Lonchura striata: one gene and its partners. The protein of the gene in region 3 binds, or shares a complex with, the protein of the main gene of each other region. Links are inferred from orthologs where the notes say so. Each region holds a gene or a part of one and is shown on either strand. Other genes may lie near its edges. The genes, in order: LRRTM2, CASK and NRXN1.

Evidence for each region.
Region 1: the proteins of NRXN1 (region 3) and LRRTM2 are in contact, whole or in part, in a crystal structure (PDB 5Z8Y), measured with the Homo sapiens proteins. The link is inferred for Lonchura striata from reciprocal best matches to the Homo sapiens genes NRXN1 and LRRTM2. Residues at the interface, in NP_001317021.1 of Homo sapiens: Leu139, Val158, Thr160, Arg236, Gln237, Leu238, Thr239, Ile240, Asn242; in NP_056379.1 of Homo sapiens: Asp343, His344, Gln346, Gly347, Glu348, Leu351, Asp352, Ala353, Gly356, Phe357.
Region 2: the proteins of NRXN1 (region 3) and CASK are in contact, whole or in part, in a crystal structure (PDB 6NID), measured with the Homo sapiens proteins. The link is inferred for Lonchura striata from reciprocal best matches to the Homo sapiens genes NRXN1 and CASK. Residues at the interface, in NP_001317021.1 of Homo sapiens: Lys468, Glu469, Tyr470, Tyr471, Val472; in NP_001354650.1 of Homo sapiens: Pro500, Met501, Gly502, Ile503, Thr504, Leu505, Lys506, Ala516, Arg517, Val549, Gln553, Leu556.

What each region holds. Positions count from the first base shown.
Region 1 is NC_134617.1:16,784,619-16,794,293, forward strand, and holds the start of LRRTM2 (leucine-rich repeat transmembrane neuronal protein 2), read left to right. Parts: upstream 1-6,048; 5' UTR 6,049-6,447; coding exon of another isoform or gene 6,448-6,473; coding exon 6,474-6,477; intron 6,478-6,806; coding exon 6,807-8,356; 3' UTR 8,357-9,675. UniProt on the Homo sapiens protein: Involved in the development and maintenance of excitatory synapses in the vertebrate nervous system. Regulates surface expression of AMPA receptors and instructs the development of functional glutamate release sites.
Region 2 is NC_134604.1:110,080,764-110,090,340, reverse strand, and holds the start of CASK (peripheral plasma membrane protein CASK), read left to right. Parts: upstream 1-5,186; 5' UTR 5,187-5,286; coding exon 5,287-5,345; intron 5,346-5,451; coding exon of another isoform or gene 5,452-5,592; exon of another isoform or gene 5,593-5,609; intron 5,610-9,577. Other genes in the region: uncharacterized protein LOC110474871, read right to left, coding at 5,452-5,592. UniProt on the Homo sapiens protein: Multidomain scaffolding Mg(2+)-independent protein kinase that catalyzes the phosphotransfer from ATP to proteins such as NRXN1, and plays a role in synaptic transmembrane protein anchoring and ion channel trafficking.
Region 3 is NC_134605.1:21,540,787-21,550,794, forward strand, and holds the start of NRXN1 (neurexin-1), read right to left. Parts: upstream 4,196-10,008; 5' UTR 4,177-4,195; intron 4,132-4,176; exon of another isoform or gene 4,005-4,131; intron 334-4,004; 5' UTR 1-333.

The DNA of each region.
Region 1 (9,675 bases), on a different chromosome or scaffold from region 3:
ATATATGCTCATCTATTATGCAGAAAGCCAAACATTCAGCTGTTCCAAGAAGTGCCATTTTACTTCTCCCCGGGTGCTTCCACATTACCATTTCAACAAGAAGCAGGAGCAGGGATTTGAGGCGATACCACCCATCAATTCCACTTTGCTGTCCCTGGCTTCACAGCCCACAACAGCCTCGGTGCACAGCACCACATGCCTTTTGGATGAGAGGAAAGCCAAGAGATGGCCTTCACTAATGGACCACTATGCAAAACACCCCAAAAAAGCACATTATAGCTCGAGCAGCACTGATTTCTCACCGCTGATCTGTTCCTATGAAACTACACCATGTCCTAGCACAGAAAGAGCTGTAGAATCCAGCCCCACTAGATTTTAGGAAGGCAGCTTCAGTTTATTTCCACCTTGCTGGCACGCAGAAGTTTTAGCACAGAAGCTTATCAAAAGCATGGCCAGAATTAACTTCAGAAGGCTGCAGGATAAAGTACCCTGCTAATTTAGCTCTGGTGATTTAGCACATTGAGTCACTAATTGGGATCCTTTGTTAGAGCTGAGCAGGGGCAGAGCAGAACAGACCCAGGACACCTCAGTGGATACACACACCCTGCTTCCACTGACATTTTAAACCATCACAGCCAACTCCAACCAAGGTCCTGGAGACAACAATGTTGAATTTTGCCCAGCTGAAGTTTCCTGACCATTTTTTCCCCTGCATAATAAACACTGTATTTCCCTGCTACATAAACACTGTGGGGCCAACCAAACCCCATTAGGACCTGGTGGAACACATGAAAACCTGCACAGCCCATGGCAGCACAAACCCTCCTGGGCACAGAAATATGCTGAGGTACTGTCACTTTGTCCAGGCTGCCACACATGTTGGGAATTTTACCCATTGGTTCCACCCTACAGTTCAAAAGTCCTGTTTGAGCTGGGCTCCCTCTCTCAAGCAATAAATCATGTTTTAAAGGCTCCAAGTGCCAGTTTAGCTCTTCTGGGTAATTTGTTCCACTAATCAATTAGCCTGACCATTAAAAACTGGTCCTCATGTCTAGTGTGAACCTTCACTGAGGAGCTAGCTAATGACCCAGCAGCACAAGGCAGCCCAGCCAGCAGCTCCTGCTATTCATGGGATTAGGAGGACTCACAAGAGTGAAGCCCAAATATTCAGATTTCTAATAGGATTTTTAGATATTCAGCACAAAACTCTGCTGAGGGAATCACAAACCCTGCAGCCAGTGAGTAGCTAATAGATTCAGTAGATTTAATAGGGTCATGATGACCATTCAATCATTCTGCAGTACGATATCCCAACTCTACCAGTATCATGGATAATAAATTTAGCCACGGTGCAAATTTACTTTAAATTAAATCTGATCTTTATCAAAGAGGATAGAATTGATGTTAAAAATCACTCATTTCTCCCAATCCCTTCATCTCTGCTCTTCCCCCACCATTGCTACCCTGCTTGCAGAGCACCACAAGCATTCCCTGTCACATCCCTGCAGTCCCAGCTCACACCATCATCCCCAGAGGGGACTCTTAATGCTCAAAGCAAAGAAAGGGGATTTGTACACAGGGAGGGGAGCAGAATCACCATTTCTGTCTTAAAGCCTTCCTGCTGTAGGTGTGCCATCTGAATTCAGACAAGCAAAAGACAAACCCAAGCTTTTCCTATAGCTATGGAGGTTAAAATCCAATCCCAGCTGATTTATAGAGGTACAGGAGCATGGTGGTGGTGGTGCATTCCACCAGGATCAACAGAGCATGTGCTGTAACCAGCTACTCAAATATATGTTCTTGTAGCTAAATATCACAAACATCTGCTGTTAATCTTAAAGGTTTATCATCAGTTTGGGTTAAGCTGAGCCCACAGAGGTATTGAGGGAGACTGCCTCCTGCTCAGCACCAATTCACACCATCCCTGCAGAGCCCACCATGCCCCCTCCCCAAATCAGCACCCAGATGTAAACCAGATGTGCCACTGCTGAGAACCACCACTGTCCCACCTGCCACCCCTCACACAACCACCAAAAAGGACGGTTGGCAGAGAGGTTTCTGCTTCAGGTGTCTGGGAATTGACTTCTGGGCTGTCAGTACAACAGGCAGCATACTGATTAATGACTGGGACTGAATAAGTTACAAGTGAGTGCTCGGCACACCTTCCTGTGTGCAGGCAGTGTGTCACTGTGAGTCACAGTGTGTCACTGTGCCACCTCCGAGCTCTGCTGCCAGGGGACACAGGACATCAGGGCTCGGGTGCATTTTGTCCCATGCTTGGTTTTCCTTGCCACCCAGCCTAATTCTGTGTCTACAGAGGATAACCATGCACCGCCCTCCATCACTGTGACAGCACGGCTGCCAACCAACTCCAGCTAGAACAGGGCTGATTCAAGGCCAGGCAGTGTGAGCACTGAGGCGTGACCCACACGAATTCCAGCAGTGTTTTCACATCCAAGGTGTGCTAGGAGGAAGCAGGACTGTGCCCTGGTTTGCTGCAGGAGGAGCTCTCTACAGCCAGCCCACAGCTCAGCAGAGCAAATGGGCTGCATGGCATCATCCAGGCTTCAGCAAGAACCTGAGTCACAATAAAGCTGCTGCACTGCCCCCCTGCCCAGCGGGCCATGCCACAGCACTGCCACCCTGACATCACTCCCCATGGCCAGGGAAGGGTGGCTCCTGTACTCACCCTGCCTCAAGGAGGAATTACGAGCAGTGCCAGGTGCAGAGAGCTGCCAGACAGGGAGGTGACAGCCACCATGCTATGCCACCACATGTGCCCTTTGGTCCCATGAAGACAAGGACACCCAACCCTCAGTGCCCATCCCTCCCACTGCCCTGCCCCAAAGAACTCTGCAGCTGGCCTGAAGCCCTGGGCACAACTCTGCTGCTGGGTCACCTCCAACATGCCTTTGTCCCAGGTATCCCCTCCTAGGGCAGCGAATCCAAGTGACAGAAGGTGCATGGTGACACAGCCACACGGCCCTGCTCACCTCCTGCCTCACAGCTCTGTGACACAGCACAAACACAACCTCCTGGCCAAAAAGCTGCAAATCCTCCCATGGTCCCCAGGGTGCTAACACCCAGCAACAATTCCCACGGCCACTCCTGCAGGCAGAAAGGTGAGCTGGCTGCTGTGCAGTGCCACACACGTGGCTGCCTGTCCTGCCTGCTGCAGTCTCAGTGCAGCTCCCGGGCTTGCACCCTCCAGGCTCCCAGCACAGCAAAGTCACGCAGGCCCCACATCTCCATCCAGAAAAATTAGCTTGTATGTTGTTCTTAATAGACTAGGAAGGCTTCCACAAGATGTCAGCCTAACTAAATGACAACGCTCGCCTCAGGGTGCAATTCTACTTTCCCAGCACATGGGTTTAGCAGGAAAACCAGTTGTGCTGCTGCTCCATGAGCGGGGTAGGTGAGAAGCCCTCAAAAGGGTTATCTGGTCCCAGTAAGCTTATTCCTGCCAATTCCCTGTCCACATTGCATATGAGGGTTCAGGCTGCCATAAAGTTCCTGCTGTGGCCGAAGCGCGCGGGTAGCATCAGATATGGTTTTTCATGCTGGGCAATGAGTATTCAGGCTCAGAAGAAATGCATTTGCATGAGTTTTGGGGGTTTTATTCCCAGTCTGTTGCACCCTGACACCCCAGGTAGCTCCTAAGGAACAATGTGAATGTTACTGCAGTGTTCCAGACTTTGGAGACTGAGATGCACACCTGTGGTAATAACTGTTATTTCACAGCAAGTGCACATAAAAACATGTTTTGCTAAGAAAAGCGCCCATAAAGTTTGTGTTAACAGTTTCCTAAACAGGAAACTCGCTGGCAAGGTGCTAAATAGCCCTTGTTTGGTTAAGGGCCAAAGAACGGAGAGCTTCAGAAAAGGAGCAACTCACCGTATTTGAACATTAACTCTTAACTCTGTGCCAAATTACACAATCTTAATGTGGGAGGAACCTACCAGCAGATATTGATGCAAAAAAGCAAAATGTTTCCAACGATACCTAATGTCAGCCTCCTGGTAAGAGGGAAAGAGGCAGCACTGGGGAGGGCTAACAGTTGACCTTAAACAGTTGTCCTTAAACTATACCCTTTGGAATGCTGTTGGTAAATGTTATGTAATATATTGAAATGTTATTAGAATTCAAATCAACACCCTGGATCAGGGTGTTGCACAGAGCTGATCCAAGAAGCCTCCACAGGTGCTGCAGAGCCACGGTTCTGTTGGACAACTGGAGCTGAGCCTGAGCTCTTTGTACCCTGAACACAGACAAGAAGAATCTCTTTAAATAGGTTTACGTAATTTCTTTGCATGGATTTCTTTCACACTGAAGCAAATGTGAAAACATTTACTATGGCAGAGCAATTTAAGAAATTTATCTAACATTTCCTAATTTGCTTAATAAAGACAGTTACTTTCCTGATGGGTTCAGAGTAGGGTTTATTTGTTTTGCTTTAGTGTTTTTTGAGGTTTTTGAAATTTTATTCTTGTGCGTTCATGTTCTCCATCCCTTCACTTTCCACTCAGTAATCCCCTTGAGTCTGCCCATCCCAGTAAGGAAGCAGCACAGGCAGTGTCACCATTCCACCACAGGACAGCCAAAGGAGAAGCAGGCAGAGAACAGCAGGTCTTGGTTTAAGCAAGGATCTCCAAGGAACCAAAGCAAGGAACCAACACTTAGTAACAAAGGTAAACAGCCATTTTATTTTAAACCCTTCTTTTGACACAATTCATCTTACTCCATCATCATGGGAAATTTGTTATTCTCAGTTCATTCCAGACCTTGGAGGTTAGAGGTGATACCTCACTGCTACACAACAAACATTTTCAAATGCCTCCTCTACATTATTGCTTTATATCTCACGGAGAAAATTAAAAAAAAGCTTATCCAAGTTGCCTGGAACAGGAAACCAGCACCCCCCTGCTGCACCCACATCGAACTATGACCAGAGCAGTGGCTCCAAAGGCTTTACCTGCACGTGCATCTTAAAAACATATAAAAATGTCAATTGAACCTGGTCATTTACCTTTCAGTACCAGTTGTCCCAGAGGAGAAGTTGCTCTGAAAAATGGGGCAATGAACCTTTAAAGCAAGGAAACAGCCCTAAGAGCCCCCTGTCCTCCTGGCTGTGTGTGCACGCTCTGGCCAGAGCCCAGTGGGGCTGGAGAGCACACACACTCTGCAGGGGCACATCTGCAGCCCTAAACCCCCAGGGTAACTGTTACAGACCCATCCTGCAGCCAGGGGCTCCTGGAGGTGCTGTCCCCCCCTCTAAGGGGGACACACAGCAGCAGGACATTGTGGGTGACCACAAGGAAGCCCTCGCACAGCTCTGAGCCCTGACTGGAAATACCAATCTCATCATTTCTGCCCTGCACTCCAGCGCCCAGGAAAAAGCAAGTATAAAACCCACCGTTTGGGAGGAGAAAATAGATTTTCTAGTTTCATAACCACACACTGTCAAGCTGGATTCCAATTAAATTTTTCCTGTGCCTTAACGCAACCTTTGCTTTTTCCAGAAATTTCTCCTGGCTTGAAGCACTTGCTCCTGTGCCCTGCTCCTGGGCTGTACTTCCTGACACTCCAGCTCCACCACTGCTCTCTGCACTTCTGCAGGAACCACAGTCACACACAGCTGTCACACGGAGCTCTGAGCTGCCCAGTCTCTCTCACCTCCATGAAAGCCAGTGCTGACCAGCATCCTCTATTCAAACTCTGCGCATTTTGCAGCTCAAAGTTCTTTCATGCAGGGAGATTTAGCAGAAAAGTGGGAGCAGACAGCACTCGGGCACTTCCATCCGCGGCTCTGCGCTGCTTTTAACCCCAGCTGAGCAGAGCCGGCGCAGATGTGGGGGGAGCAGGGTGCTGCGAGTCCCTCCTGCGCCGTCTGTCCTGGGGACGAAGGACTCCTGCCGCTGGATTTTCCCCCTCTATCAGTGGTCTCTAACACGATCACAGCGTGCAGCACAATGCTTTAAAACAGCAAAGCTTCTGGAAAACCCAAACAAAAGGAACGTCACCAGGTGACGTCAGCCTATATAGAGCCCTGTGTGGTCGCAGCGCATAAGCAAATCCATTCTTGTACCGCTTCCCTGAAAAGCTTTTCAGTAAATGCACTCATGCTACTACAGGAGCTTCTCTCAGCAATAAGCCACCCATCTGCCATCAACAAGTTAGGACTAAAGGAACCCACAGCTGCGGAAAAGGAAAACGTGAGCTTCAATTAACCAGCTGAGCAGCCACAGAGGACGAAAACTTGTATTAAGATTTAAAAATTGCAGACCTGTCAGAGGAGATCAAGGCAGCAATTTCAAAAGGAATATTCCAAGAGAGCATCGTGGATTTTGCACTAATATCAAAGGACACTAAACCCAGTCAATTATTCAAGGCTATCTTACATTAGAGCCTTTCACAGACTCACGGCGTTGAGTCTCAAACTACGACTGAATGCACCCTCCAATGTACTCAAAAGAATGGGTAAGTTCTTGCGTTTCTCTGTTCCTTGTATAATGAATGACAGCTCTGCTTTAAAGGAGCAGTTAAGATGCTAAAGCTGATTCCTCAGCACTGAACCTTATGAAAAAAATGTTTTCCGATAGTGCCCTCCGTAATCGAGATAAAGCCTCCTCCTAAGTGTAATAATGTCCAAGTATTCGGTTTGTTGTAGTAAGTTGTTTCTTGCATTTAGAATTAGCTTGTTGGAAATGCATGGCAATGTTATCTGCAGTGAAATCTTCCACTGTGATATTCCAAGTGTACTGATAAGGCTATCCTATCTTGTTGTTTTCCTAAATTATATTCTGCAGGCTTACATTTCAAGTGGCCATTAGGGGCTCGTATGCTGGCAGCACTATATGCAATGAGTATGGTTTTAAAAATGCTGCCTGCCTTGGGCATGGCTTGTCCACCAAAATGTCGCTGTGAGAAGCTGCTCTTTTACTGTGACTCTCAGGGGTTTCACTCAGTGCCAAACACCACTGAAAAGGGCTCGCTAGGTTTGTCACTGAGGCACAATTATATTTCTGAACTTGAAAGGGATCAATTTGCAAGCTTCAGTCAACTTACTTGGCTTCACTTAGATCATAATCAAATTGCAACAGTCAGAGAAGATTCTTTTCAAGGACTGTATAAACTTAAGGAATTAGTCTTAAGTTCCAACAAAATCTTTCATTTGCCAAACACAACTTTTAGCCAGCTGCTTAACCTGCAGAATTTGGACCTCTCTTTTAATCAGTTATCCTCTCTGCACCCCGAGCTCTTCTACGGCCTTCGCAAGCTACAGACCTTGCACTTGCGATCCAACTCCCTGCGGACCATCCCGGTCCGCCTGTTCTGGGACTGTCGTAGCCTGGAATTCCTGGATTTGAGCACAAACCGCTTAAGAAGTTTGGCTCGCAATGGATTTGCGGGATTAATCAAGCTGAGGGAGCTGCACCTAGAGCACAACCAGCTGACAAAGATTAATTTTGCTCACTTCCTCCGGCTGAGCAGCCTGCACACACTCTTCTTGCAGTGGAACAAAATTAGCAACTTGACATGTGGGATGGAGTGGACCTGGGGCACCTTAGCAAAGCTCGATTTGACTGGAAACGAAATCAAAGCCATCGACCTCACCGTCTTTGAAACTATGCCTAACCTTAAAACCCTCCTCATGGATAACAACAAGCTCACCACTCTGGATTCCAAGATCCTGAGCTCGCTGACGTCCCTCACCACCGTGGGCCTCTCTGGCAATCTGTGGGAATGCAGCCCAAAGATCTGCTCCTTGGCCACATGGTTGAGTGGCTTCCAAGGTCGGTGGGAGCACTCCATCCTCTGCCACAGCCCCGACCACACCCAGGGAGAGGATATTCTGGATGCAGTGTATGGTTTTCAGCTTTGCTGGAATTTATCGACTGTGGTTACCCCCGTGGCTACGACGTCGTACACAGCTCCAACTACCGAGTACACGAAAAGAATAAGCTCTTCTCATTTCCATGTGGGAGACAAAGAGATTCCAACTACAGCAGGCATGGTCGTTACCACCGAAGAACAGTTCCCCGAGCCAAACAATGCCATCTTCACTCAGAGGGTAATTACAGGAACAATGGCTTTATTGTTTTCTTTCTTTTTTATCATTTTTATAGTGTTCATCTCCAGGAAGTGCTGCCCTCCCACACTAAGAAGAATTAGGCAGTGCTCAATGATTCAAAACCACAGGCAGCTCCGATCCCAAACGCGGCTGCATATGGCCAATATGTCAGACCAAGGACCCTATAACGAGTACGAACCCACCCATGAAGGACCCTTCATCATCATCAATGGCTACGGACAGTGCAAGTGCCAGCAGCTGCCCTATAAAGAATGTGAAGTATAATACCTACAGCCCATCACAAAGTAAATCAGATAAGTAACCTACTTGAAAATTGTAGGGACCTACATCAGATTCTAATTTTTACAAATGTTGACATAAAGCCTAATTTTCCAAGCTACTTAATGGAAACATTGTTTATGGAGTGGTGCAGTATTTTTAAGTTTTTTAAAAAATAAATCCATAATATTTTCAGTGTTAAAGAAGCAATGATTACATTCAACTTGCACTCCTAATGTTTAAAAGTCTAAAGAGATGCTCACCTCAAACAATGTAAAATGTTTAATGTTATGTAATTATATGACTGTGTGTAAACATTTATACCTGAGTCTCCATATTCTACTTTTTCTACTGCAATCAGTTTTATGGGAAGGAGACTGGATATCTGTGCAGGGATCTGTGGGGGACGTGCGCTCCATTTGTTCCACTGCAGCTGGAGGATCCCAAACACTGCAGCTGGCTCCGGGCACTTTAAGAGCAGCCCGGGAGGAAGATTTTCCTCCTCTGAGCATTTCACTCCAGTAAGGGAAGGTAGGGAAAACAAAAGGGAAAAAAAAAATAAAGAGGAACAAAGGTCCAGGTGGGAATTTCAGTGCATTGGGGTGAATTTATCTGAAATACGGTTTTGCTCTGTGCATGTTCATGGCTCAGCTTGCTAAAAGGGATGGCAGGCACAGAAAGGAGCAGTTCACACAGCACACACAGGGACACACAGCCCCAGACAGGATGTGCACAAACACAGGGCCACACAGCCCTAGGCAGGATGGGCACACACACAGCCCTAGGTAGGATGGGCACACAGCCCCGGCAGGATGGGTGCATACACAAGCATGCACACACACAGAGTTCCAGGCAGGACAGGCAGACACACAGTCCCAAGCAGGATGGGTACACCTCCAGGAACAGGATGGGCACACACACACACACACAAGAGCAGGATGGGTACAAACACAGCCCCAAGCAGGATGGGGACACACACACACAGAGCTCCAGGCAGGATGGGGACACACACACACAGAGCTCCAGGCAGGATGGGCACACACACACACAGAGCTCCAGGCAGGATGGGCACACACACAGGAACAGGATGGGCACACACACCCACACCCTCCCCCCCCCCCCCCCCAGGAGCAGGACAGCCCTTTCTGTGAACCCAGATTGGCACTGCAGCTTCTTTAGAGAGGCTCAGCACGCTGAGATCGATTGAAAATATTAAGTACATTCAGTCCTCGACTCCCTGGTTTCACTTGATGATGCTTTTCATGAATTCAGGCTAATTACTTAATGATGATGAACAAACAGCATTTCAGCACCTTTTCATGTGT
Region 2 (9,577 bases), on a different chromosome or scaffold from region 3:
TCCTCTGGGCATTCGCTCAGCTTTGTGGGGCCCTTCTGGAGTTTCTATTAGGTTGGCACCTGTCTAGTCAAAAGCACTTAATAATCTTGTACAAAAGACACGAGAGTGATAAATGCAAGAAAAAAGGAAATAAAGACATGAAAGGAAAATAAAAGGGTAATTAGTTTTCTTTTTTTTTTTTTTTTTTGGTGCTAGTACTTTGCATTTTGATATTGTCTTTATAATGTGATTTTTAATTATTTTTCTCTATGTAGGTGCATGAATGTAGCATATGGTTGCAAATGATGAAACGATAACTGGAATTTTTAGTTGGTTTTATTACCTGGTTTTAACCCCTGTAAGACATTTTTAATTTAAGAAAAATTCAATAAAAGCATCCTGGAGAGATTTCCTCTGCATTTATTATAATTTAATCCATACTCATCAATGAGGAAAAGCTGCAGCTGGGGAGAAATAAATAAACACCTCCAGTAATGAAATCAAGACACAGCTACATGGTACACAAGGAAGGGGAAAATCAGCAGAATGGCAAGGAATAACTAAAGAAACTCCATTAAATAAGGGTTTGTGTAATTTTAAAGTATTCCTCTCTCTTTTGATGTTGTCAGCTATTCTTACCTGGGACTTTTTCACCTTTGGAAGTTGATTTTGAAAGGTGACTTGTGATACTTCTGAAAGTGTCATATTGGGTCAGCTTTGGTCTAGTTCAATGCCCATCTCCAGTAGTGTTACCATAATTTCTGTTTAATTATGAGTGCAATCTAATTCCAAATGAGGAAAGTGACTTTTTCCCTAGAAAAAACATGTCTGGTTACTGGCCCTGGGTCAGTGTGAGCCATGTCAGAGGAAGGGGATGTGGTCACCATGTCTCAAAGGCAGTGAAAGCAAATTTCTTATTCCAAAGAGACACCTCTCAGCCTGCTGGCCAGGGAAAAGAGGTTTTGCCATGTTCACACTACACATAACTTTTCCAGGAACTTTTGAACCTGGCGGTCAATTTCAACAGAATTAATCAGGGGCAAGGTACAGATCCCTGAGATAAGCTCCAACTGCTTTTTGAAGAGAAGTGGCTGCAGAAAAGAGACCTGGTGGTGGCTTCAGTGAAGAAAAGTGACAGTGAGAGTCTCCTTCTCACCAAGCAATGGAGAACTGACACTGTGAAGGAACTTAAAACCAACTCCACTGGGGGGGAAAAAATGCAGCTGGAGATTTATCTTGCCAGACAAACATCACTCACCTGTTAAGACAAGCATTCGTGGGAAACCCTGCCTCCTTAATTACAGTGTGGCATAACTTGTGTGCTACACCTGAGCTCTGCAGCTGCAGCCTACCCTGCCACATGGCAGATTCTGAGCTGATTTAATTACAGACTTTTGCAAGAAATCATTCAGACCTACTCCAGGTCAGCTGATGGCTTTTGAAGGCTCTTTTCACTAACAGTTTTTACAGGGACTGCAAATGTCCCTGTAAAATATCCCTGAAAATGTGCCTGTGATCAAAACACTTTTCATTTCAACCAAAACATGTTTTCTACTGCCCAAAGTATGAACAATTTTCAGCTCACAGAACTGACCCACCTAAACAATATGGCAGTTTGTCAGAAACCCGGTAGGCCTGCAATATTCTCTTTTACAAAATACTAACAGCTCATACTCATCTTCAGTGTCATTCTCAAACTTTTTAAGAGGGAGGGAATTAATATCTGGGTTACAGATCAAGTACCCAAGACCCTGTTACAATTGGAATCTGAGGAACAGGATTTGGTGCTTTCTACATCTGTGGGATAACAGAACGCTGTCAAACCACTGAAATTTCTTGTTCTTCTTCATCGTGTACTTTTTACATCAAATTTTAAATGAAAACACAAAGGCTCTTTGGATAACTGATAACTACTGCTCCAAAACCAATTTTTGAACAACTTACCTGTCCTGTGGCTCATGCTGTGCGGACTGTATGCGAAAACCCCAGGTGAATAAAATTTGAAAACCCCACAAAATTTTAAGAAATAAGTTTTCTAGTGCCCGAGCCCACACTCAGCTACTCCTTAGCATTTTTTGAATGCAAAACTGGTTAACCTAAACATACACAATCTTAACCAGCCTGTCCAGAATCTGGCAGACAGGTAGCTGAAACACGTGCAGTGCTTTGGGAAAGGCTACCAGGGGCTGTAGGGCATTTCCTCATGTGAACACTCAGTGTTCTCTTACTCTTGCCTGATCAAAAAGTCCCTCTCCCAGCTCTGAACCAACTGATCTGCTTTCAGACCATTACCTCGCCAGTAAATAATTTCAGGTCTCAAGTGCAAAGTCACTTCTGCTCGTATGCCAAACATTATGGTTACACACTTTTTGATGAGATGTTAGATGTATGTATTTCAGAATTATTAATTTAATCCCACAATCTGTAAGGATCCACACTGGATAAATGGGTGAAAATCAAAAATGCTTGCTTACGAAAGGGAATGACTACTTTTGAACGTGTGGCTGGAATTTCTGATCACAAACACACCTGCAAATGCTCTGCTTGGATTATCATGCTACTGGGTCCTTCTGGCAGACCAACGCTCATATTTTCCTGAGCCCATTCAATCTGAAACAGAGTAACAGCACAATTCTCAATTGTTCCAGTAACTGCTGATGCAGTGGCATCTCTGCTGCATTTACTGGCTCACTGTGCAACTTTTTATGATCCAGATCTACACCAAAATCCTGGTTCAGACAGATTCTCCTCATGCAACTCAAACGGGAGGCAGCACCCATGTTCACTCTTCCCCTGTACTGAGTGAGGACAGGTTTGATAGATCCACCTTGCTTCTTTTGAGCCTAGTGAATGCTAAGGCTGCTCTAGGACCCCTCAAGTCAGCCAGATGCCTACTGGCATTCCCTGGATGCCAGGGAATGGATCACCTCTCTTCAGCAAAAGCTCATTTTTGTTCTGTGTCTTCCAACTTCCTTCCCAGGATCACAACAAACCCCCAGCCTGTGCCCCAGGACCTTGTACTTTAGCAGAAAGCCACATTTATGTGCTGCCTATTCCCAAAACCAACACAAATGTCCAATGAAGGTTTGCTCTATGACAATATTTTGGCACAAAGGCCCCCATATATTATGCCTGGTAAACTTTTATTCAGTTTAAACTGTCTCACCTGGGCAATATGGCCTGGTGTGACACCAAGCACTCAGCATCCAGAGGGAGGCAACACCTCAGGTGATGCTGCTGGAGCAGCCAAAGCATTTGCCCCAGCTCAGGAAGAGATCCACCACCAGCAATTTTCTTTCTTGTGCACTTTTGAATTGTTTTTTTTATGTTAACTTCTCATGACGGCTTCACAGACAACTCCAGCTCAAAGTCTAAGTGAACACTCACCCATATTCTAAAAATTCTTTCTGAGTGACCTGTGTGGGACTCAGCCTTGTGGGCCTGCAAAAGGAAAAAATGGGTGCCCACGTTTAGCTGTGTGAAATTTAGAGAACGGTTTAAATATATCAGCTTTTTGTTTGCAGTCCAAAGAGCAGATGGTGGTTTAAATATTTTTCAAAGGTTTGTATGGGATGGAGCACAGACCCACAGGAATGTCTCTCACCCTTAAGATAGCACTGTGCAGTGATGTAATTATTAGATATAATTAGTTAGATGTAATTAAATAGATGTAATTATTTTCACTGGTTTTCTTATTTTTTTATTACTTTTAAATTTTTTCTGGAGACAGGAACAAGGTAAGGTGTTGTCAGCTCTACGTTTTAAAGCCAACCTTTAAACCATTTCATCAGATAATTCTGCTCTGATAGTTTTTTTTTCCTCAGTCTGGGGAACAATTCCATAATTTACCTCTGTTAATGAATTTTGGGAAGTTGCACGTGTACTACTGTACCTTGAGAGAAATAAATACTTTCTGTAAACTGCAAGAGTTCCCGACTAAACCCTTCAAGAGAGCTTTGCTTTCTTCAACAAAACATCCAAGTTTTCAAAAAACTTGGAAAAGCACACACGTGCAGCATGTTAAACACCATGGAACAATGAATGGTGCGAGCATGGGGTGATTTAAAATCCACCCGATGTCTCCCGCGCGTTGTTCCGCGCGGCTGGAGCCAGCGGTGCCCCGCACAGCTGGAGGAGCGGCTCACGGCGCACTGCCACAGGGCGAATTCACTGTTTTAGGGATAAAGAGCGGCTCTCCCAACAACACAGGCGGTCCGGTTCGTGCCGCAGAAAACACTTGCATCCCGCTGGAACACACAGAAGGGAAAATAAAGCACGGGACAGAGCCGTGCGAGCCCGGCTCGCACACGGCTTCTTCACCGCCACTGCCCGGTTTCCTGCGAGCGCGCGGCGCGACCGTCCCCGTGCCGGCCGCGGGGTCGCTGGGGGTGACGGGGGCGATAATGGCGATAAAGGCGATAAAGGCGATAAAGGCGATAAAGGCGATAATGGCGATAAAGGCGATAAAGGCGGTCAGGGCCGCACGGGCGATAAGCGCGAGCGGCACCCGCGCCCGCGCCGTGACGTCACACCCACCTCCCCCTCCCCGCGCCATGACGTCACCGCGCCTGCGCGAGCCCCCTCCCCTCGCGCCTCCCCGGACCCCTCGAGCGGGCGGTTGGGGGCGTGGCTCGCCGCCCCCCCACCCCGCGCCCCGCGCGCGTGCGCGCGCGCGCCCCCCGGCGGCGCCCGCCCCCGTGACGGGGCTTGCGTGACGGCGGCGCCGGGAGCACGCGCGCGCGCGCGCGCCCGCCCGCCCTTCGGTGCCGCGAGCGCCTATCGCGAGCGCCTGTCGCGACCGCCGCCTCGCCGCCGCCTCCTCCTCGCGCCCGGGAGCGGAACCAGCGCCCGCGCCGGGGCTCCTCCCGCCCTTCCCCCTCCCACTATTATCCTCCCTCCCGGCGCTCCCGCCCGCCCGCCCGGGAACGCGCGCCCCGCTCCCGCCCGGCGAGGGAGTGACCCGGCGCTGCCGCCCGCCCCGATCCCCTCCATGGCTCCCGCGCCGCCCCGCTGAGCCGGAGCCGCCCGCGGGAGCCGCGGCTGAGCGCGGGAGGGAGGGGGCGGGAGGGGGGTGGGAGGCGGGGGCGCGGGGGGTGCGACACGCGCGGGGAGCGGCGGCGGCCGCGGCAGGAGGCGGAGGAGGAGCGGCAGGAGCGGGGAGTCCCGGCGCGGCCGCGGGAGCCCCGGGCGGGCGGGCGGCGCTGGGAGCGGCCGGGATTTACCGTGGTGGCGGTGGGCGCTGAGCGGCGGGGGAGCCGGGCGTCCCCGGGGCCGCCGCCTCTCGGGCTGAGCCCCCCCGCCCGGACCATGGCCGACGACGACGTGCTGTTCGAGGACGTGTACGAGCTCTGCGAGGTGATCGGCAAGTGAGTGCGGCGGGGAGCGGGCAGGGCAGGGCAGGGCTGGGCGGGGGAGCGCTGCCCCGCGCCCCCCGCCCGCACCGGGCACCGGGATGCTCCGCCCGGGACCCACCTGAGTCGCCGCCGGCGGGTCCGTGCGGGGTCCGGGTCCCCCACCCCGTGGCCGGTGCCCACCGTCCTCGTCACACGGGAGGCGGAAGGGGGAGAAGTGACCCCATGTTTCCTCAGCCACCATGATTAACCACCTCGCCATCGCTCAGCCTGGCTGCAGCAAGCGGCAACCACTTCCCACCCCTTTTCTTCTCCTCCCCCCCGATATCCCATTCCTGGCACACCCATCAAGGATTGCCTCTTGGGGAAGGGAAGGGGAAGATAGCTCTCCGTAGATCCACCTATTCACTGGGTGTCTTCATATTTGTGCGCCAGGTGTTGGGTTTTCCTCTTCTTTGCTGCATAATAACCAGCTTGGTAGTGGCGCTCGGGTAGTGCTCGGTTCTCGTCCAGATCCATCACTCTGGTTTTTGTGGAAATGGAGATGTACAAGGCAGGAGGAGTGCTTGGCCTTTTGAGTCTTATTATGCAACTGCTGTTAAACCGATGCTCGAGGCTTGTACGAAACCTGGGAGTTGAGGCTCTGGCTGGCGTTACCCAGCTGCTGTTTCGGGTTACCACTGTTGGATGAAAATGACAATTCGAGTCACCAAGAAAATGCAGAGACTCCCCCAAATCAGATGGCGATAAAGAATTAAAGCTGAACTCCATTCTCCCCTGCCCCCGTATTTCTGTCACTGCTCAGTTTTGAAATGCATTCTTTATTTCTTCATCATCTTTCATTTATTTTCTCTAGTTGTGTCTGTGTTGCAAAACGGACAGCAAATATACAGTAATACTGTGACTACCTAATTTTCTGTGTGTCTGATTCCAAAGCTGAGATTGCTCTGCAAACCTTAATAGTGATACTGTTCAGTGTGCTTGGAGTTTTTTCTTCGTGACAATGGATTTTATGAGAATAATTGACCGTGTTTTGGTTATAAACAAAGAATGTTTCCTGCATGTATTCTCTTGCCCGCTCTCCACCCTGATGCTTTTCAGTGTACATGGAGTGCTGTCTGCTTCCAAAGCCAGGGCTAAAAATATTTTAGAATTAATCTTTTCTCGGGATTATGCTGAAATGTTGGTCTTGGACATAGCAGGTGGCTTTGTTGTCAGCAGAAGTTTCAGCACTCGGTTCTGTTGTTTCACAAGACACTACCACCTTGCTCCTAACACAACTTTTAAAAATATTAAGCTCCAAGGGCCTTGTTTGCCATCATAAATGGAATATGATTGCTTTGACTTGATGCTGTTGAGGAGCAAAACTCTTGTAATTGAAGTGTTTTGAATACAATTTTTGGCACACTCCTTTCACAAGTGGTTTTATGCTAACCACTGCAGTTCACACTCGGTTTTGTTCCTGCCCGATTGCCATCAGGAGGAAGGTGCAGTGCTTATGCATGACCGCAAACCCTTTCAGAGGATGGATGATCGATTCGCAGGGGGCCAGATGTTTGCACATCTCCACCGACTTTTTGTTCCGCGGCTGGAGAATTTCGAAGGGAGAGCTGAAAACCGGTGGATTAGGTGTTAGCTGCAGAAGTTCCACACGAGATTTGGGTAGTGTAGAGGGTGTTGTGATGTAACTAGATCTAACAGATAAATATTGAATCACAGCAGCACGATGATGCCAAGAACACTGTAGCAAAAACAGGGTGTATCACTGAAAATAGCAACAGTGGTGGTGTGAAGGGCTGATAGCTGGTAGTGATTACTCAGGTTTTTCTGAACAGATGTCAAGTCTGTCCTCTAAAAAAACCCAAATATTTAAAATATAAACACACAACTGTCATGTACAATTTATGAGTGGTATTGCTATTTCTTTGCAATGCTATACAGGTAAATTCCAAGGGACCAGAGGTGCAGCATCTTTATTTAGCTTATAGATTCTGGGTACCACCTTGCTTGTCCATAAGAAACTTCAGGAAAGCTGCTGTAAATCTGCTATGAATGGCTACATATGCATCTGACCAAACATCTTTCAGTGAAATATACACTAAATGTCTGCATGTCCCTGGGATTTGTTATTGATTGGTACAGTGATTTACTTCTTGCAGCTAGCACATCTGGCTCTGATTTGCATTTTGGACACATGAAATACTAAAATGTGTAATTTATCTTTCCTGAATAGATAGTTACCACTGTCACTTAAGGTAGTAAAAGGTATTTTCATAAAGGGTGTGGGAAAGAGGTCATTGCCTGTAAAACGTCTTGAGTGTTTAGTCAAAGTTGCCATACAATTTGCTAGAGAAATCAGGAGATACTTTCCTGGCTGACAGTAGACAGTCCAATTTGTTGAGGCATATTCTGATCTTTAGGATAAGCTTTAAACACTTCTAAATACAATAAACTGATAAGACTGACTTTGAGTAAATGCAGCAATAATAGCTTTTGGTGAGGAACAATTACAGGGTAGTAGTATATGAATGAAGTGATGGGAATGGCAATGATAAACTGTTTATTATGTGACATTTAGTGTGTTTAAGTTCTGCAAGCATGCATTTTTCATTTTTAAGGGGTGTGGGTGGAAAGAAAGGCCAGGAAGGATAGAGAGAAATTCTAGTTCATGTTTTCATTAGAAAAAAATGTTAGGGGAAATCTTATTTTGCATGTATTTCCAGTATACCTTTCCATTGCTGAAAGCTATATGAAGATACAAATTGGAATAACAATCTCAATTTCTCATTGAACTTTTTAAAGTGGCATTTATGGCACTAACATTAGTCATGTATTTTTACTTAACCAAACGTGTTATGTTTGAGGTTACTCTCTTCAACTGGCACAAACATTCTTCAACAAGAAGTAAGTTGGGGATTTCTTTATTAGCCTTCAAAAATGTGTTGACATATCTCAGGATAAGTGATAGTGATGAAAAATACAAGTGTGCCATTTTTTTTCTAACTTGTTTCCAGGTGAGTTTGAAGAGATTCTCTCTGTGTATTGGTTGAGAAGTACACAGTCTAAAATCTTTAAGGCTGTTCCTATGTGGATCAGACCATGTGTTTGATTGACAGCTCACAGATAGTATTGCTAAGTGTACTTGTTTATTTTTTATTAGAATTTTCATTCAAAATGCTTTGAGTAGTTTATAAAACATAGTAGGTGTAAAATTGAAACATCTTGGCTACTCATCCGAGGTGCAGACTGTTCTAGGAGCTCCACATACATGTAGCAGGAGTTTTCTTTATGCCAGAGAGAGAATGCCTGTCTTCAGTAGGTGTTGAATCTAGAAGAGTGAGGCAAGGGTTTTATGATAGAGCCTTGTTCTGCAAGGACTTTATTTTAAATTACCTGGTTTTACGTTTCTGTACCTCTTAAGATCCATATCAGTTTATATTAGCATTAGAGGAGAACCATAAAGATTGTCTGACCTTTCTAACAGTAGGACTTGCTTAAAATTTCTCCAAATGTTTAAGTTGTAAATACAATGGGATAAAGATGATAGGCATTTATTTGTGTTTAAAAGGGCTTTGGTCACAATTGAAGTCATTAATCCTGGGGTGCATTGGGAAGAACATAGCTGGCAGGTGAAGGGAGGGGATCCTGCCCCTCTGCTGAGCCCTGAGGATCACCTGGAGTGCTGTGCCCAGCTCTGGGCTCCTCAGGACAGGACAGACTCGGAGCTGGAGCAGATCCAGTGGAGGGTGACAAAGATGATGGAGGGACTGGAGCATCCCAGTGAGGAAAGGCTGAGGGAGCTGGGCCTGTCCAGCCTCGAGAAGAGAGGGCAGAGAGGGGACTCATCCCTGTCTGCCAGTGTCTGCAGGGAGGGTCAGGGGATGGACCAGCCTCTGCTCCGTGGGGTGGTGGGACAAGAGGCAACAGGCAGATTGATGCACAAAGTTCCACCTGAACGTGAGGAAGAATTTCTCTCCTGTGCAGTGACTGAGCACTGAACTGATTGTCCAGAGAAGGCATGGAGTCTCCCTCACTGGAGATACTCCAGACACATCTGGACACAGTCCTGGGCCATGTGCTGTGGGTTGACTCTGCTTGAGCAGGGAGGTGGGACCAGATGACCCATAGTGGTCCCTTCCAGCCTGACCCATTCTGTAATACTAATAGTCACTGAAATGGTACATTTCTGCAATTTTTCTCTTCTGTTTCTGGGCCATATGTGCCATTGTGTGTGTAGTGGTGCAGTT
Region 3 (10,008 bases):
GGCACATGTGCGCCTCTTTTTACATCCTCTCCACCAGCTGTAGTTTCCCAGGAAGCCAATTATGGATCCAAACGCTGCCTCCCTAGGATGGATCCTCTTGTCATATCACAGCCTGTCTGCCATGGTGCTAGAGCAGCGTCAGCAGACGACAGGACTCATCGCTCGTGGTTGCTTGAGCTGCTTCAATCCCAACGGGGTTCAAACCCAGAAGCTGTCAAACAGCCGAGTGGCCACTTGACATGCAAAGCCTGGCAGCTCCTCTTCTCCGTGCTTGAAAAAGGCCAAGGCTAAGATCCAGGGGGGTGATTTTCCTCTATTGTTTTTGTTTCTAATCTGCAAGGAATTGAAACAGAATAATAAGAAATGACAACTAATAACATGTTGAATCACAAAGTTGATCAATAGCGAACATTTATGATTATTTTTTCTTTTTGACTGGTGTTGGACATTAGGAAAATGCTGCTGTAATTTTCAGGTCACTGAGAAATTGTGATAGGTTGCAGCGCTAAAGACAAATCTCAACACATATGTTTATACTAGATTACATTTTTATGGTATAATCTAAATGTAAACTACTTACCTTTCCAAAACTTTCAAATATTTCTGTAGTGCATTTTATTATTACAAGAACAAAGTCAAACAGAAAAGATAGTGGCTATTCTGCAATTTATTTAATTTTAATTTATTTGTGCAAATGCCATCACCTGTGAAGCTACAAGGTACTAGTCATACGGACAATGGTACCAAGCCTAGTTCTGGTTGTTTCTAATACAGGTCAAAAAAATAAAGTGGCCTGAGCTCCCAGCAGGAACTGACAAGCTCCACCACGCATGGCACACCTACTGGTTTATTTTTCCTGGGGTGAGGAAGAATTGCAATAATTTCTTAGATGGCTTTTTGCATTTTTTTAATGTTTTTTAAAACATTTTTTTTCTCTGCTACCTGGTTTCTTCTGGGGCTGGTATTTTCTGCTATGGCACGGAAAATCCAATTCAAGCCAGCTCTGATGTTGACATTATTCACAACGCAGATCAGCTAATCCCAGGTGTTAGTCCTCTGAAACTGGTTGCAGTATTTTATGTCTATTTACTCAGCTGCCCTTATTTAAGAGAACAAGGAGAGAATAACTCCTCTGTTTTCAAAATTATATATATGCCACAGTTCACCCTTATCCTCTGAAGAGGTCTCTACATCCAAAACGTTTCAGCGGACAGGCTGCTTTTCTCCCCCAGGGCTGCTGTATCGTTTCTGGAAGCTGTGTATTAGCAGACCTCTCCTGATGGAGGAGAGGATCTCCAACACCTCCCTCACACATCGCTTCCCCTTCCCCTCCCTTACGTTTCTTTGCCAGCAGCACTTCGGCAGGCACAATAGCACGGCCAGAGCTGCTGCCAAGCCCTTTTCTGGGCTGGGATGTGTGTGCGTGTGTGTGTGTATATGCGTGTGTGGGGAGAGGGGGCAGAGATGACCCTGCCAGGGAGAAACGTTTTAAAAACAGGCACACACCTCAGCTGCCTGCACCTGACACGTTCAGAGCTGCTAAGTCACCTCCTACTCTCTCTATATTTAATTTCATTCCTCTAAATGTCAACACGATTATTTTTATTATTTGCCACGCGTGAGGTGGGCAAGAGCAGCAAAAGGGAGAAGAGGAGAACACCCCCCCCAAACTTCGCGGGCAGAGGCCAGGCGTGCCCACCAGCAGCAGGCAGACCCCAGGCTTCCCCCACGCCCTCCCTGCCCCTCGGCAGGAGCCACATCTGACAACGCCGCTACCAGCCGAGGGATTTTCCGGCAGCTCCCGAGAGGAGCGGCGGCGGGAGCCCCCGCAACCCCGCTCCCCAAAGGGCCCTCCCGGGCGCGGCGGTGGCCGCGGGCTGGGGCGCCGCTGGCTTGCGGCACGGCGCCGAGCGGCAGCTCCTGCTTCAGCACCCGGAACAGCTCCGCCCTGCGCGGCCCGACGGGGCGGCGGCGCCCGCCGAGCCCCAGCGGCCCCGCCGCTGCCCCCGCGCTCCGCCGGGGCTGCGCTCCAGGGGCAGCCCGGGGGGCGCGCCCGGGGCGGGGAGGGGGCGTGCGGGAGGCCGCGGGGCCCCGCTGCGGCGGAGGGGAGGGAGGCGGTGATGGGGCGGGTTTGGGGGGTGTGGGGGTGCGGGGAGCCGGGTGCTGGCTGGCGGTGTGAGAGACGGCGTGCGGGCCCGGGGACAAAGACAGGAGGGAGGGGGCTATGTGTGAGGAGTGCCTGAGGTGATGAGTGGGGAAAGGAGAGGTTTGTGGAGACGGGTGAGTGGGGAAGAGGCGCGGGGTGTGTGTGTGTGTGCCTATGTGTATGTGTGTTCACGGGGGTCACCGGGCAGCTGCTGGGGCTGGGCTGGCCCCCGGGGGAAGGGGCGGTGGGGAGGGAACGCGGGAGGCGCGGCGGGGAGGGGGGCGCAAGGTGAGCGGGGCGGGCGCGGCGGCTGCAGGAGGAGCGGGGCGGAGGAAGAGAAGGGGTTTGCGCCTCTGTGCGCGGGGCGCAGGAGCGGGAGGTTGCCAAGAGCCCGTGGTGGCTGTCAGGGGTGGGGAGGAGGGTAGGGGGAGCCAGGCAAGGACGCGGTGTGAGTGTGAGTGTGTGTGAGTGTGTGCGCGGCCGCCGTGCGTGCCAGAGCGATCCCTACAGGTGTCCGCGGACAAGCCGCCGCGCGGGGATCCCACCTCGCGAGCATCCCTGCCCGCTGCCTGCCGCTGGCTGCAGCGCCTGCCTGCCCCCTCACTCACACACACACAGAGCAGCAGCAGCGGCGGCAAGAGCGGGGAAGGGAAAGAAAAAAAGACAAAAAAAAAAAAAAAAAAAAAAAAAAACGAGGGAAAGGAAAAAAAAAAAAAAAAAAAAGACGAGGTGGAATGACTGTAAAAGAAAGGAGAAAGATCCAAGGGGAAAATAGCCCAGCAAATAATTGCTTATTTATTACTGCCCATATAATTCACACATTGCCAATAAACAGCACAGTCAAGTCTAGTCATTTCTAAAGCAGAGGGACACTGTCATTCTCGGAAGAGGACAATTTATTAAAATATACCTATCTATGTATCTATCTATCTCAAATGGCTCTTAAGCACCAGGCGTCCCTCCCAGCGATGTATCCATGAACACACACATATGTAGCGAGAAATATGCACAAACCAATATAAATGTAGCTATTGCATTCAGAGCCTCGCCAGTGAATTCGTATGCTTCCCCCACCCCTTTACAACCATTTTATTTTCTTCCAAAATTATGATTTAGTCACAGGTGCCCCGATTGAGCCTTTTCAAATTAGAAAAAGAGAGAGAGAGAGACACCCATAGGTCAATAAATCCTTAATAAATGCCAGGTCGGTTGGCATGCACAATCCTTGGCAGAATCCTTATTGTATGAAATACAGAGCATTGTCTCTGGGTGCGGGGAAGACCAGAGTTCACAAATTACCGGATGAAATAAAAGGATCTGAAAAACAACCTTGCTGCAGCCAAAGGGAGAAGCGCTCTAATTCAAAAGCAGACTTAGCAGCATCATTAATCTTTTCCTTTCATTTCTACGTAATTTCTAGAATCAAAATCTTTCCAAAGCGGCTGGAATGATCGATTTTGCTCTCCTTCCAGTCTGCAGATGTATTTATTTTAATATGCTTATGATATAATTTCTACCCCTGCAAAAATGCACACCATCAGCAGGAACCTGAACAGTTTCAAACACGTATCGAAGAAGCCGAGTGCCCTCTTTCTTCTGTCACACAATAGAAAATGTCCCAAATTATCAATGCACTTCCCGCACAAGCCCCTCGTCTCTTTCAGACCGCCGCCGATAAATAACAACAATATTGCGATATCCCATCGCTGCCCCGGCTTCGCGTTTCACCACGGCAGCTCACGCCAGGGAGAACATGCAGCAGATTGATTTTATCGCTCAAGTCTCGCAGACCCCCTCTCCCCTCCTCCCCTCGCCTCGGCAAGGGGCAATAAATCACCGCATCCAACCTTTAACTTACACCTCCGCTCCACCATCTCCTCTCCTCGCCATCCACCTCTCCACAACGCCGCACGCAAACCCACCAGCCTCTCGCGCCGCCACCGCCACCGCCGCCACCAGCGGCTCCGCCGCGGCGGAGCGGGGCTGGTCCTCCGCGGCGCCGCTCCGCCCGCGCTGCGGGCGCGCCTTACCTGCGCGGGGGCCGCGGGGCCGGGGCCGGGCCGGGGAGGGCGCGGCTGCCGGGGCTGCCTCTGCCGCCCGCCGACCAAGCGGAGCGGAGCGGAGCGGGCGCTGCTGCGGGTGCGCGGCGGCGGCGGCGGCGGCGGCGGCGGCGGGCGGGGGCGGCCGCCGGGAGCGGGGGGCGGCACCGCCGCGTGACGCCGCCGCGCCCGTCTGCCCGCCGGGGGCGGCGCCGTGCGCGCTGCGGACCCCGCCCCGGCCCGACACAGCCCGCCCGGACCGGCACCGGCACCGGCACCGGCACCGCCGCGGCACGGATGGAGGGACCGCGCGGGGGAGGCTGCGCCGGGCGGCACCGCCGAGAAGCGAGGTCGGGGCGGGGGGCGAGCACGCTGCTGCCGGCTGGGGAGAGTCGGAGGGGTCGTATGGGCAGAGGGAGAGGTGCTGCAACGCTGGTGCAACACGGCGAGGGACCAGAGGGAGCTGCCGGCTTCCCGGGCAAAGCTCTTCTTTCTTTGGGGCTTCTTTTGTTGGTGGTTTCTTTCAGTTTGGCGAGGGTTGGTTGGTTGGTTGGGTTTCTTTTGTTGTTGTTTTGGTGGTACCACTACTACTACTACTAATTATCATTATAATAATCTTTATTATCATTATCGTTCTGTCATCTTTTTTCATGTCCCGGAACTGAGGTTTGCCGAATTCTGCTCAGCTTCTGGGAAAACTCAGGTATAATCTCATCAGCAGAGCGCCGCCAAGGACCACGTCTGCCACAACCACAGGAGAAATGCTTGGGAAAGCCATTTTCCAACATAAAAGTTACCTGCCTCTGTGTTGTCTCCAAATGGTGGTGAACTGTTAGAGAAATTCCAGGCGCTTCTCAAGATCATTGGGTTTAGTGGCATGGGAAGTGTTTGATCGTGCCAAACCTTATCTCTATCTCTTGGCCTTCTAACTTAGTACCTGTGGCCTACAGAAAGGTGAAGAATGGATTGTAAGGGATTTGCATGAATCCTTAGCGAGGGTCCTGACAACTTTGGAACACACGGAGTGATGTTTGTCACACCGAGGGTCAGAAGAGCACTCCTCTATGGGGCATGACACAATTTTTTTGAGAATGGTCTGTGCAATTAGATTTTTACATATCTGGGGTGTGAACATAGCAACTTAGTTTTGAAATGAAACTTCAGAGATAAGCATAAATAAAAGGCCTTTCTTCCATTTCAGTCCCAGTGGAGTTAGCTTTATGGTTTATTTTTTTCTTGATGAAATGGGTTTCCTCACAGACGACAAGTTTGATGAAGTAACCAAGCAACATGTTAAGTAATGAGAAGAAAAGCTTCCTAGATATGCAATGTATCTTAAGTGCTTACAGCATAATCAAACATTCCTTTTGTTCAGCCAACTGATATCCACATCCAGTTAATTTCAAACAGAGTGAGGATTTCTCTTGATAATTCTAGTAACTTGACCCCTTCAAGCAGAGCAAGGAGCAAATAATTCTTCTGCTATGAAAAGCAGATAAATTGTAGGGTGAAACATGATAAGTGATACACATTTTTAAAGAAGCAAAGTTGTAACTTGATATTATTTTTTCGTCTGTCTATATATGTATACATATATATGTATATATAATAATATATATAATGTGTACACATTATATATTTATAATATTTTTTAACTGTAGCTTTATTTTATTAGGCTCACAGTGAGCACAAGGGAGAACTTCTTATGCTGTTAGATGGGGAATGTCAAAGTCCAAGGCCAATGCACCTTGAATGTGCTGGCACAGGTGGAGGATTCTGGCACAGGTGGAGGATTCTTCCACCTTCTCCCTTAAAGTGAAGGACATCTCAGTTATTCCAGCAATAGCCAGAGTATGCTCATGTTTCTCCAGAAGGAAGCCTGCCACAGTAAGAGGAAGGCTGGCAGGAGCCTACACAGAAATAAAACAACAAGATGTTAAGTGAGCCAGGAAGATACAGGAAGATTTAAGGGAAATACAATTTCCTTAATTTAATGGTGCTTTTTTGTTGAGAAAAATATATTACTTTTGTCATTCTCAGCAATTGTTGCAGCATATGGTGTCATAGTTGATTCATTTTGAGGCAGCACAAAAAAAAAAAAAAAAGAAAAAGAAAAACAAGAAAGAGGGAGAAAAAAAAAACGAAATATGATTTCCATACCATCTCTGTAGGTTTTTCAGCTTGACAAATATATGATATATCTTGTAAGAAACACATGGCCTTACAGAAACCTGACTGTCTTCTGCATAAATTAACATTCTGTTTTATACCAAAATATTTATAGATTTGGAAAAGTAAAAGATAAAAACAGCAAGGATCTTCTTGAAAACAAACCAATTATTTTCTGTCAGGGAGAACGCAGTACATTATCCAACTTGCAAGTCCGAGACCTTTTGGAGGGATGTGTATTGTCAGAACAAAGTGCCTTTGAAGTACATATGTGAAATTGTCCAACGGTTGTAATTTTAAATAAGAGATCTTTTGGCAAGCTGCAGTGAGTGCTGGAGCTGTCTCTGAGGCACGCACATGCAATTGCCATGGCTGTCAGAGCTAATAAGAAAGGAAGGAACCAGTCAAGGCACTGCAGAAGAAATAAGAATGATTCTGCTGAGAAATAAAACACAAAATAACCAACAACAACAACAAAATCCCGCAAAACCCACAATTAAAATCAAACTAAAAGTTCTTCCAGAGAACACTGGCTATCTAGGCAGGCATGAGAAGGATATGAAAAGGGAGAAAGTTATTTCTGAGACTGAAGATAACAGGAAGAGAATAAACCTGTTTCTTTACTGAAGTGGTCGTGGGTAGTGCTTGGGATTGGAGTGGCTGGATTTTGGGGACACATGAAAGCTCTGTTCTGGTTATAATAATGCAACATATGCCTGACATATTTCCCTGCTTTGAAACTATCATCAGTAATCCTTCTATACCAAATCAAATCTTTGAGAAGAGCTTCAGACCCACCAGAAATTTGACCCTTTGCATGTGTGAATAGAAGTGTTTTTTTGGAAGAGAGTCAGTACAATTTTTTTTAACAATTCAATAATGTTTTTTGAACTTGGTCTGGAATGAGGAACAAATGGGACAAGGTAGACGTGCAGCAGAACTGAGGGAGCTGTATGCAATTGTCTGTATCTGCATACAGGCAGTGAGGTTTAAAGAGATGTGGAGAAAAAAGATGTAATTTCTGCCTGTTAACTGCCATATTACTCAGATGTGGATGAATCAAGTATGGGCAAATCTAAAATGAGAAATTAGAAGATACCTGCCTTGGAAAAAGCCAGTGTGTTACATAGGTCATTGATTGCTCAGTTCAAAGTAATTAAAGAAAATTTTGAAGCTTTAGAAACTTGAAGTAAAAGAGAGAATCAAGTCCATGTAGTTCAACAAAATTAATTACAGCAAATAATGAAATAAAGTACTGAAGGTATTTGACTGAGACATGTTTGAAATCAGAAAATGGAACAGAGAGGCAACTCTCTGGATTTGATAGTTTCTCTAGATAATGAGTTTTTGGAGATAGCTTATAACTAACTTTGGAGGATTAAGGTGTTAAAAACTTGCTTAATACTAATTCTGAATGGATAAATAATAAAGTACAGGAGCACACCTATGATGATTTAAAATATTTATTGACCTTATACTCAGTACTGGAATTTAATCATATTTCCCAGTCTTCTGCTATTGCAGAAGGTATCAGGTGTATTTAGTGATGTAATGTTCTAGTCATGAAGAGAAGATTGGAAACTTATGCAGTTTTAGGTGGCTTTGTGGGTCCAAAAGTAGTTTATCCAAGGAAAGCAAACATGGTAGGAAAATGCATAAACATATCTGAGGATCAGAACATATTTGTGGAGTCTTAGTCAATAAAAAATCTCAACCAACCACAATTTCAAGGCTTACACATTTCTCCCTGGAAAGAACTGCTTTCTTGTATTTGCTGTAATAGTGACAACTTAACATGAAACATGTTCAAGAAAATTAATAGTAATCTCAATCTGATCCCCAAGATGAAAACTTTGAGATGATTCAGAGATTAATTTGGATGCCTTTTATTCCCTTTCATTGGCTTTGGAGTTTCATTGCATGAAATTGCTTGCAACACTGGAAAAACAGACCACTTTAATAGTTCAAAGCATAAAAAAGGTATTTAAGTGTATATGAAACATGTATGAGACTTTGAATTAAATTTCTATTACTGATTCAGAATTGCATATCCAACACATGGATTTAGGTTTGTTTCTTTTTTTTTTCCATTAAAGGAAAAACTTGATTTGTGTGACGATATATTCCTATAACATAATGACCATAATTTATAGTGTGAAGAATACAGAAGCTACCAAGACCTCAAATATCCCTAAAGTGCATATAAAAAGACATCATTCATGACAAAACCCTATAGTTTGCTGGCTCTGACTCTCAGAGCTGCAGGTGCAGTGCACTTTCACACACAAGGCTTGGCTGATGTGCACAGCAGTACACATTGCCAAGAGAAATCTGTAATGAAATACCCCATGTTAGGTTTTCTGAGCTGTACAAAATCTCATCTATCAGCCAGCCCTCTTGGTGAATCCTCAGTAGCCTTCAGAGGGGCTGTGGTATGACACACGTAGCAATAGTTGTCTCACTGAAGCTCCATGAAGAAAGTCAAAGTGATGCAAAATGTTCTTCTCAATAAATATTTTGGATTTGGCAAATGGTATTGATTAGCTGTACAAAGCATGATGAAACAGAGAATGGAGAAATCCACTGGCTTCCAAAGCACATTTGATTTCATATTAACTCTTAACAAGAAGGTGATTGCAGGATTTTCTTTATATAAGACTTTGTAAGGATTTGTACATCACTACTGTGATTTTAAAAAATGTAAATTTCATAATAATAACTTTATTAATTTCAAATAAGCCCTCATGTTCATGTCTCAAAAAAGTGGTCATTTTCTCTGAATCTCTATGCAGTAATGTGGCATAACATATACAAATATTAATGCAAGCAGTAGATACATCTCAAAGACATCCTTATAGATTTGTATTTAAGAACAATGCACGTAAACACTGCAAATAATGCCTTTGACTGCAAAAATATAAGAAAATAATTAATTTAGAATACATAGGTCTTCTTTAGGTCAACTGCTTGCCTTTTAATGCTTTGCAGCAGTTTTTAAGCAGGAAAGTTTTGAAGCAGGAAAGTACAGACAATCTTAGATAAGAAGAATTGAAGAGAGCAGCAAACTCTTGCGTGTTGTCATTGAACAAACAACACTCACCAAAGGAACTTGGAAGCTCATTTCATCCCAGAACTGTTTGTGAAATCACTTCCTTGAATGAAATGTGTAAGAAATCCCACCATAGGCAGACGTGGGATGAATATTTTGTAGCACTCCCCAAGAGAGTTTATTTTAAACCCTAAAATATTTTGCTTCATATTTCTTTCAAAGTTCTTAACATTTAACAGACTTTTCTAAATGTTACTTATAAAATTTCCCATAATTCCTTTTAAAAATCCCACTAAATTCGTACTCCCAAGTAATTTGCATAATTTATATGGAATTTATGTGAATGCCATTTGTGTATAATTTGTATAAATTTCCATGAAAGCCATTCATCATCGTCACCACATTCCTCATTCTCTTTGCTGGGTTCACAGAGCTGCCTGGATACATTAGTGAGTTCATGACCCCCAGGTTTTAGGCAAGCTTCTGGGTGGTCTCTGTAGTGTGGGCTCTGAGTAAAAAACAAACTCCTTTGCAAAGCTCCCAAAAGTTGAAAAACAATGAATAGCAAGACTGGCAGAACAACGTGATATTCTAGTATCATTTAT